Caenorhabditis elegans: one gene and its partner. The protein of the gene in region 1 purifies or fractionates together with the protein of each later gene. This does not show direct contact. Each region holds a gene or a part of one and is shown in the gene's direction. Other genes may lie near its edges.

Region 1 (5,034 bases):
TTGATAAATTCATTATTAGAAAATATCCGAAAAAAATATCCGCCCACCTCAGAAACTCTACTCCCCAAAATAAAAATTTGCAGAGTCCGCGTGGAACAAATGAAAGGAGCCGATGCAAAAGCACTGGAAACAATGGTGAAAAAGTACGCAGACAACTCGGCAGCCGACTCACTGGTTGCTGGTCAAATGGACTTGACACCTCTTGTCGATAAGAAACAAATGGAATGTTTGAATGAATCTGATGATACTCCACTGGGACGTTTTCTCGAAGGAAACTGCAATCTGGTTTCAGATTGTGATGAGCAATTGATCATCTCACTTCCATTTAATCAACCAGTCAAAGTTCATTCAATTCTTATTAAAGGAGTATCGGATCGTGCTCCAAAGAAGGTCAAAGTGTTCATTAATCTTCCGAAAACTACGGATTTCGATAATGCAACAGCTCTGGAGCCAACTCAAATGTTGGAATTTGATGAATCTTCTATTCAAGGGCACGGACAAGTCGTCGCGTTGAAATATGTCAAGTTCCAGAATGTTCAGAATATTCAATTTTTCATTGAGAATAATGTCGGTGGAGGAGATGTAAGTTTCGATAAAAATTACTTTGAAAACATTTAAATTTACTAAAATTTTACCCAAAACTATTGATTATGCTTTTATTTATTTATTTAATAAACGTATTAAATAAATAAAGAAAGATAATTAAAGATTTTCAGTAAAATCACGAAAACTCGCTTTATTAATGAACGAATTTCGTGAAGAAACTTCTCAGACATTATTGAAAAAAAAAAATTGAAATTTAGCTAAAATTAGCAAATTTTTTTTCGAAATTTTAAACCGCCATTTAAAAAATATTGAAAAATTGTTTTTAATATAAAATGTATTCCGGCGAAATTTCGGATTTTAACAATATTTTGGTTTTTTTTCCGATATTATTTTAGTTTTTGAGCTGCAAAACAATTTTTCGGATTTTTTTTGGAAGTCTCATTATGAAAATCGCCGATTTTCTGTAAATATTAATTTTCGGAAAACTGCCGATTTGCCAATTTGCCAGAAATTTTTAAATCTGACAATTTGCCGATTCGTCGTAAATTTTCATTTTCGGCAAATTGCCGATTTGCCGGAAATTTTTAGAGGGATTATTTATAAGACGGAAAAACTTAAAACTATGCCTTTTTGAAATTTTTTCCCCATTTTCTTTAGATATTTTCATAGAATTTGCCTACTTTTCAAAATAAATGTAGAAATATTCATAGGATGCGTACAATTTTGCCGATTGAAATTTAAATTCTGAAATTTCCAAAAAAAAAAATTTGCAAAACCGCAATTTGCCGTTTTTCCGGCAAATTCGACATTTGCCAATTTGCCGGAAAAATCGTTTGCCGCCCACCCCTGGTTCAGAGCAAAATTATTATAATTTTCCAATTTCCTCCAATTTTTTCCTTTTTTCCAGGTCACTGAGCTCGTCAAGCTTACAGTCTTCGGAACACCTCTGTCTGCTCTCAACATGAACGAATTCAAAAGAGTCGCCGGAAAAGCTGGAGATGCAGCTCATTGAGCCCATCAATCCTTCTTCCTATCAACTGATTGTGAGCCAACGAGTTATCCAATTCATTTCTCTAATTGTCATGTACCAAAAACCATACTTTCGCTGATCCCAGTTTCCATATTTTCCTTATTTATTTCTCGATTTGTGTATCATTTTTATTTTAATTTTAATTTTAAATTTAAATTTATTTTTTTTTCTCAGCATAAACACATTTCTCCAAGCTATCCTATTCAATTTTTAACTCGAAAAATGTTTCATTTCATCTAGATATTTCTAATTTAATTTAAAAAAAAGAAAAAATCTGAAATTTTCAGATGGACGTTGACCGGCTCATGCGTGACCTATCGGTCGAGCAACTGGAGAATATTCAGCAGAATTTGGAGTAAGAGAAGCGGGAATTCGAGAAAATTCGAAACAAAAGCTTCTCCTCGTGGAGTACACGAGGGCTGCGTAAATCGACACGTGGATGTGTTGAAGAAATTTTTGTAAAATGAGGAATCGGAAAAATTTGCTGAAAAAAATTAATTTTTTAAAACAAAAATTAATTGAAAATTAGAAATTTTTAATGTTTTCTGGTGAAAATTGGCTGAAAAAGTATTTTTTTTTCTCACAAAATTTTATTTAAAAAATAGAAATTTCAATTTTTTTCGCGAGAAAAATATTTGCAAATTGAAATTTCAAAAAGTTCAGAAAAATCAACAATTTCCAAAAAAAAAGTGATAATTTTCAATAAAGGGCTATAATCTTCGAAAAAGCTAAGAAAAAAGCAAAACTAAGAAATTTTAATGTTTTCTCGGGAAAATTGGCTGAAAATAAGATTTTTCGGGATTTTTTAAACAGAGTGTTATTTAAAAAATAGAAAATTCAATTTTTTCATGAGAAACAATTTTTTTTTAAATTTTCACATCAAAATTTCAAAATATTCATTTAAAATTGAAGTGCAAAAAGCGTATAATGTTTCCAAAAAAAGGTATTATTTCCAAAAAAAAAATCAAAATCGCTGATTTTCAGAAACTAATTTTTTATAAAGTCGAAAAATCGGTAAATTCCAAAAAAAAAACACGATAATCTCCAAAAAAATCCTTAGTTTTCAAAAAAAACAGTGATAATTTCCAATAAAATGCTATAATTTTCAAAAAAAAAACGATAGGTTTCAGAAAATTCAATAATATATTGAGAAAGTCAAAAAATCGTAAAAATTCCACAATTTCCAGCAAAGAAAGCTATAAGTTTAAAAAAACGATAATTTTCAGAAAAATCGATAATTTTCGAAAAAAAAACATTTTTTTCAGAAAAGAAATGGAAGGAAAACGAGAAAGTCTCCGTGAAATGGTCGGCCGTCGGTATCGAGATGTTCTAGAAGCTTCTTCAGAAGTTCGTCACGTGTGCTCTTTGGCTGATAAATTGGCCTCAGATATTGCAAATACAAGAGTTGGATATCAATCCACTCATGTTAGGTTGGAAATATTTCGCAAAATTTGAGTAAAAACTCGGAAAAAATACGGCAAAAAATTCTATTCAAAAAATTGGAAAAAATTGAATTTTTCCAAATTTTTAAAATGGTTTTTTTGAGAAAATTTCGCAAAAAAAACTAATTAGGAAAATTTAATTTAATTTTTCATTTTCAGACATTTTACCCCGAAAAAAATTGCTGAGACCCTAAAATTTGTCTAAAAATCGATTTTCTAGCAAAAAATTAGACTTTTGCGGAAAATATTTAATGCTAAATTATCGATTTTCAGACAAATTTTAAATTTTCAGCCGTTTTTTTAACAGAAAAAAAATGACTGAAAACACGAAAAATATGTTTAAAAGCAAATAATAATAATAATAATAATAAATTAATAAAAACCAATAAATATAGCCGAAAAAACGCTCAAATGCCGAAATTAGATTGCGCGGGAATTCAAAAACCATTAATAAACAAAATTCTTCAATTCCAGAATTATTTTCAATTTTAAGATCCGAAAATCGTTAGAAAAATATATATTCTACTTCGAAAAAAAAAATCAAAAGTTATAAATCAAAAACTCAATTTATTCGGATTTGTTTTCAAATTTTTAACCTAGATAAATTCAAATATTTATCACATTTTTGCACGGTTTTCCAAACAATTCTGTAAATTTCAGAGCAAAAAATTTGAAAAAAAAAATAAAATTTTGAATTTCCAGAACCGGAGGACGAGAGGAACAGAAAGCGGGAGAACATCTCTATGCGGTGAACTATTTGGTTTCAAGTATTGGAGGAGATAGTATGGGCTTTTTTTTTTGAAATTAAAAATTGATTTCAACTTAATTAATTCAAAAATGTCAGCGAATTTTAGCGATTTTTACTGAAAAAATTTTTAAAATCATGAAAATTGAGTAGTTTTACCCGTAAAACAAATTGAAATGCTATCAAATTTCATTTTTAAAAAATGTATTTTTTCCAGGCGGTGAGCCACTGGACGATGTAGTTGCTCTTTGCATGGTGGAGCATCTTCAGAAGCAGCTCATCAGTAATCATTCGTCGCCAATGGTCAGTTTAAATAAATATTGTTGGTAGCTGCGCTAAAAAATTGGATTTTGAAATTTTCGAAAAAAAAAACAATTTAAAAAAATCTTAAAATTAATTTTGGTCAGATTTTTTCTAGATATTTTTGACAGTAAATTGTTGAACAATTGGGAGAAATTTCAGGTTTTTCGAGGAGAACCGAAAAATGGAAATTTATTTTTTTTAACTTAAAAAATAAATTTTTTTCCCGATTTTTTGAAGAAATTCATATGTTTTTGTACTTTATTTTAATAGAAATGAGCACGATTTGATGAAAAATCTAGGGCTTCCATCCCGGCGCCTTCGCCGGCCGGTGAGGCGCCTCAAACAGCCTCACGTCGCCACTATCGCCGTCATTGAAAAAAAAACGTAAAATTTTATTTTCATTTCTTGTTTTTTTTCTAAAATTTCAACAAATTATTAAAAATGAAAATATAGAATTCACGTCAAAATTTTTTAAAGCGGCGAAGGCGAAAGCCGGCCGGCGTGATGCCGGCGTGAGGCGCCGACGCCGCGCCGCTCTCACATGGAAGCCTTAGAAAAATCGAAAAAATATTTCATTTTTTCGATATTTTTCAACTAAAATCGAAACATCCGAAAAGAATTTATCAGAAAATTAACTATAAAATTCGATTTTTTATCTCATTTTGTTTATATTATTGAGAAAAAACTTCCAAAAAGAAGAAAGTGATCACAATTTTAAGCTGATTTTTGACAAATCGAAAAAAATCGAAAAACGAACATTTTTTGCTTTCCAGAAATCGAAAAATCGAAGAAATATTGTTTTTCAATTTTATTTGTCAAAAAATCGAAAAACTGACACCTTTACATACAAGTTTACATACAAGTTTACATACTTTACATACATACAGGCATTTTTCGATTTTTTCGCGTTTTTCGCGTTTTCCGCTTTTTCGGTGTTTTTCATGCAAAATAGAAAAATCGAAAAATCT
Region 2 (6,054 bases), 1.0 Mb from region 1:
TTTATTATAACATGAATTTCTCGGTGTTATAGGTAAAATGAACCCCGCTGCTTTGTCGGCATTCACACGATCTCTACTATTCAATCGATGCTCAACATCTTCATTTTGTAATTCAATCACACGAAATGCCGTCGCTTTCTTTGCCACTGCAGCTGCTACGCCAAAAATCAATGTAAATGTGGGAACTATTGGACACATCGATCACGGGAAAACAACTCTAACATCAGCAATCACAAGAGTTCAGGCTAAAAAAGGTTTAATTAATTTTTATATTATTCACAAATGAATTCAATTCTGCAGGTTTTGCGAAGCATATTAAATTTGACGAAATCGATAAGGGAAAAGAAGAAAAGAAACGTGGAATTACAATCAATGTCGCTCATATCGGCTATGAAAGTCCTCTGCGTCGATATTCCCACACTGATTGCCCCGGTCACTCGGATTTCATCAAAAATATGATTTGCGGAACTTCACAAATGGACGTGGCTGTTCTTGTGATTGCTGCAACCGACGGAGTCATGGAGCAAACCAAAGAACATTTGATTCTAGCCAAGCAAGTTGGTGTTAAAAATATGGCGATTTTCATCAATAAAGCGGATTTGGTTGAAGAAGATGATCTGGATTTGGTAGAAATGGAAGCACGGGAATTGTTGAGTCTGCATGGCTTTAATGGAGATGCGACTCCAGTTATTCGAGGTTCCGCTTTAAGTGCTCTAGAAGGACAAGATATTTCGTGTATCGAGAGATTGATTGATGCATTGGATTCACTTCCAGAGCCGGATAGAAATGAAAAGGATACTTTTGTAATGCCAATTGCATCGAAAACTGCTATCACTGGGCGAGGTAATTGAAAAAAGAAATATAAGGTGTGCCAATCAAGAATTTATTTTGCAAGAAAAAGTGCAAGAAATTTCAATAAATGACATTTTTTGCCACCCCTAATATTTAAAAAAAAACCAATTTAAAATGTTTTTCAGGAACAGTCATCGTCGGTACACTGGAAAGAGGTGTCTTGAAAAAAGGCGATAAAGTTGAAATCAAAGGAGACGGGCAAACTCTTCAAACGACTGCTTCGGATATCCAAGTTTTTGGCAAAAGTGTGAAGGAAGTTCGTGCTGGAGATCATTGTGGAGTTCTGTGTAGAGGAGTTAAAGGGGATACAGTGAAGAGAGGAATGTGGGCAGGACATCCAGGAGCAGTAACAATTACGAATCGAGTGAAAGTGGAACTTTATCTTCTCTCGGAGGCTGAAAATGGCAGGAAGATCGGAATTCGGACTGGTTTCACAGACAAAATGTACTGCAGTACTTGGGATCAAGTTGGTCGTTTCGATATGAGCAATGAGCTTCTGATGCCAGGAGAACATACTTCTGCTACAGTACTCTTGATGAAAGACATGCCACTCAGAAAAGGAATGCCGTTTACATTGAGAGAAGGAAGCAGTAAAACAACGATCGCTAGAGGAATCATCTCAGATCTAGAGGATCATGTGGCTGTAGAGAAACATAATCTTAAAAAGTCCGCTGAAAAGATGTAGTTCTTTATATATTACAGTATTGATTTATTTTAGGTTAGATTTTATTAGCTTGTTAACTACTATATCTTGTTTTGTTTTTGTTTTCTTTTGTCGAAATCTTCGAATAATATTTCACTACTTTTATTGTTCAAATAATACCATTCTCCTATTAATAGCAGTTTTACCTGATCTGCTCATTAATATCTTTATTTTTAATTTTCGTATTAAATAATAATTTATTTTTTAATTCCAGTTTAAAATGTCGGGGAGAGTCGACGAACAGCTCGACGACTTCCTCTGGGGAAAAACTGATGTTAAGGATTACTTGAAAAAGTAAGTCGCCAAATTTTGTGGATTTGGGTCTCGACACGACAATTTTTGTTTAATGAAAAATGGTACGCGCCTTTAAAGAGTACTGTAGCGTCGATTCTTCATAGTTTTTTGCAAAAAGTATATTCATTTATTTATTTTTTAAAAACTAAAATAGAACAACATAAACTTTAACAAATCGTAAGAAAAACTATGAAAAATCGATAAAAACTTCGCAGCATCGAAAGTTTTAAATTACAGTATTCTTTAAAGGCGCACACTTTGTCGAAAGATGGAGTACCGCCAGTAGAGAAATTTTTAAAAAACATAACTGTAGTGTTACATTATATTAATAAAAAATCAAATCAAAAATGTTTGCAAAAGTTGTTATTTCAATTGACTTGAAATTTCAAGTAATAAAAACTTTTTTGGAAGTCGTCGATCAAAAAAATTATCTTCAAGTTTTTTTCTAAGTATATGTACAAATTTTCAGGGTAGCAGAATGTGACTCATCCGTAGCTGAATCATTGAATCGAAAAGTCGCTGGACTCCATGATACCCTCGACAAACAGCTTCGTAAAGGAGTCGAAACTAATCTTCCACGACTACTGGAGCAAGTGCCAGCTCTTCAATCACTTGAAGATACTCTACATTCAGTTCAAATGCGAATGACATCAGTGACCAAAGAATCAAATCGACTCGCCACGGTTTGTGATGATCTTACCACGAAGCTTCGCGAACAAACTCGCCAACTCGAAGCAACGATGCTCAAAAGAAACATGGCTTCAGATGCCCAAAGATGTGAAGAACTTTTTGAATCTCTTGAGAAACGAAGTGATTTGGTGAAGAAGGCGGAGATCACATCGGAGATTAAGGAGATACTCAATGATAATAAAAATTTGCGAAAAATTGGATGGTTGAAGAATATGGTGGATACCAAGTTGAAAGTGGCTGAAAATGAAGTTCGACGCAGTGGAGCGGAGGAGTTGAAACGAGGTTTAGCGTCATTGAATAGCTCGATGGTTGTATCTGCTCAAAGAGCTCTTCGAACTTTGAATTATTTGGATTCAGAACTTGAAGTTTTGCTGTCCTCCTCTGTTGTCGATCTGGATAAGAAATTAATGGAATTATCAAACAGCTCTCCAGAAGTTGCTAATAAAAGTCTCCCTGTAGTCGCTGCAACAATTCAATCACATCTCGAACAAGCGGCTATGCTGGGTGAAGTCTATAAGAAGAAATTCTCTGAAAAGTTGGCTCGACTGATTCGTAGCAGAGTTCCACTCGATACTCCATACGCTTTGCGGTTTGTACAGCAATTGGGTAGAGTATTCAATTCAAAGGGAGATAGTTCACCCGCTTTGAACGATTCTTTACGTCCACTCAAGAACTCTCTCCTGACTCATTCACTGGCTCGTTTGCACAAACTCGTTGAAGAAAATGACTTCTCTACAGCTCATGCCAATGCATTTGTCGATCTTATCAATTCTGCAATGGAAGAAGAACATCGAAAAGTCGACTGGGACGCGGAGTTGAGCCAGAAAATGAGCAATAATATTGAGAAATGCATTGAGATTATTGCAAAGAAATTGGAAGCCAATCTTCATTTACAAAGAGATGATTTACTCCTAGGTGAGCTGTGAAATTAATACTTTTTTTTGTTGATTTTTTTTATCAAAAACAAAAAAAAATTCCGAAAACCCGAGAAAACGATGACGATATTTTCGGCGATTCGATAAAACTTTCTGAAAAAGTCCTGTTTTTTTATTCGAAAATTTTTCCAAATTTATAAAACTTTCAAAACATTTTTTTTTGAGACTTCTCTAAATTTTCATTCTTCAAAAATTGAGTTTTTATTATGATATTCGAGCTTTTTTGAGTGTACAAAACAAATATTTATTTTCCATACTCCACATTTAAATGACCAAATAAAAAAACATTTTCAGGAGACCGATTGACTGCAAATCAAATGACAAACTATCGTCTCATTCAAACCGCTGATGGTATCACAAAACGTTGGCCAGCAGAATCGAAAAGTGTGACAGCGATTCAAAAAGAAACTCTTGATGCGATCGTCATAGAAGTCAAAAACTCGATTCGCGCGATTGTTGCAAGAATGCACGTTGAAACACGCGGAATGACAAAATCCGTGGCTCCGTACATGCAAGAATTGCTCACCTACATTAATCATATCGACATGCACATGGCTCACGTTTCACGAGCAGTTTGTCATTCTCACGTACTCTCACAAATTGCCGAATATGTCATTGACTCATTTATTCTAAATGCCACATTAGTCAGATCACATGCTTCTGATGAACGTCAACTCATTGTCATTGACTTTTCAAGGTAATAGGGTGCTTAAACTGAAAATGTTAAAAATTTTTCAAAAAAAATTTTTAAAAAACGTTTTCTTGCAAAAAATTACACTCGAAATAGAAAAAAAAACAATTTTGATCAAAACATGTAAATTTTTCTAAATAATTTTTCAAACCTCAAAAAATTTATTGTTTTTCTCATTTGTCGTCTTCTAAAAAATTTCCAAAAAAATATATGATTTTTAAAATATCGAAAATGTTTTTTTAGAAGAAAAAAACCTCTTTAGTCATTTTTATCATCAAAACCATTTTTTTTTGATAAATCTATAGTTTTATCGTATTTTCCTATTTTCTGTGGAAATAAAACCGAAAAATCGAACAATTTTATTAAGATATCCTAGAAAAAAAAATTTAAGAAAAAATTTTGAAATAGCAAAAAAAAAGAACAACAAAAAAACCTGATTTTCCCTGTGGTTAGCAATTTTTATATTATTTTAAATTTATTTTCCAAGTTGTCGGTTAGACATTTTAAATTTAAACTCAAAACGGCGCGCTGAATCACAAAAGTGTTAACTTTTTCTGTTTTTACATCGGTTATGATTCAGCGCTTTACATCTTTGCCGCCATTTTGTATTTAAATTTATTTATTTAACTTGTCTAACTGAAAACTTATCAAAAATGTTTAAGTTTTAACCGAATTCAGAGGATATCAAAACAAAAGAAATACGTTTTCAAACCTTTTATTAAATTATTCAATAATTTCGTCAGAAAAATTACTTTTTCAGATTACTCGAAGCCGTTCGTTCAATGGAATGGCCTTCCAAATATGGTGACACTACTCGACTTTTGGATCTTTTCGGAAGCGATGTTGATGTGATGCTCAGAGTTGAAGGTGTCAAAAAGTCGATTTTAATCCAGCTACTAGTATCCGATAGCCCTTCAGAACTTCCACTTCCTAATCAATCTGTAAAATGGACGGTTCGTAGTTTTCCACAATACTATGAATACTCTAAATATGAAATATTTATATGTTTCAATTTTCAGCCCGAAGAATATGTAAAGTGGTACGAAGAGCACACTGAGCTGGAAGTTCTCGCATTCCTCAACGGACTTGTGTCTTCGTACAATAGTTCTGTCATCTCACGTGGTCAACAACACTATGTCGATCATTATCCTCGTATTGTGAAGCTTCTTCAAAATGCTTTCTAACCTAAAGGACACTCGGAGAATTTAACAACGCATGGGTTTATGTATTTATGATTGTGATAATATTTATTTATTTGGGTGGAATAAAAGTGTATTCGTTTATTCCTACAATTTCCATTTGTTCAGTCTCCACGGTTCTCAGCCATTCTTCATATTTCTATTCTGAATTGTTATGTGTTTTTTTCCAATTTTTTCTTTCCAGAAATATATTGTAGAATTCAAAATGTCGCCCATCAAACGAGAACCAGAAGAAGCATGCCTGAAGCCAATGCGATTTGAACAAGAAATACCCGAAAGGGTAGATGAGCCGGAAGAGATGGAAGTTCAACCAGAAGAAATAGAGGAAGAAGTAGAAGAAGACGAAGGTGATGATGATGAATGGGAAGATGTAACGATGGTGGTCACTGTCAATGGAATTCTCGACGCGGATCTTGTTAGAGATGCCGTCGAGAGAGATTTGATCAAATTGCGGTACGCTGAAACGGATGCACCAGTTTTACAGGTAAAATGGAAATATACAAACTCAAAAGTAAAATTTTATGAATTTCAGATCAACAACTCACTATACACGGCATCCTGGGAGCAAGATCTCGGAACAAATATGGTTCTGCAGTCAAAAGGAAAAGAGATGGAAGTGATTTCGTGTACATCGACCATGATGACTGCAGAAAAAGCCCTGTTGACCTCGTTAAGCACCGAAGGATCTAC

The links.
Region 2: the proteins of cogc-1 (region 1) and cogc-5 fractionate together in Caenorhabditis elegans (co-fractionation; one large-scale study listed by BioGRID). This does not show direct contact.

What each region holds. Positions count from the first base shown.
Region 1 is NC_003279.8:3,231,528-3,236,561, forward strand, and holds the start of cogc-1 (Conserved oligomeric Golgi complex subunit 1), read left to right. Parts: upstream 1-1,863; coding exon 1,864-1,931; intron 1,932-2,841; coding exon 2,842-3,006; intron 3,007-3,720; coding exon 3,721-3,800; intron 3,801-3,980; coding exon 3,981-4,066; intron 4,067-5,034. Other genes in the region: txl-1 (Thioredoxin-like protein), read left to right, coding at 84-582, 1,454-1,558.
Region 2 is NC_003279.8:4,247,724-4,253,777, forward strand, and holds cogc-5 (Conserved oligomeric Golgi complex subunit 5), read left to right. Parts: upstream 1-1,769; 5' UTR 1,770-1,775; coding exon 1,776-1,849; intron 1,850-2,318; coding exon 2,319-3,454; intron 3,455-3,768; coding exon 3,769-4,171; intron 4,172-4,925; coding exon 4,926-5,118; intron 5,119-5,184; coding exon 5,185-5,349; 3' UTR 5,350-5,447; downstream 5,448-6,054. Other genes in the region: tufm-2 (protein-synthesizing GTPase), read left to right, coding at 38-254, 301-843, 978-1,537; C43E11.12 (Transcription factor TFIIIC triple barrel domain-containing protein), read left to right, coding at 5,519-5,848, 5,897-6,054.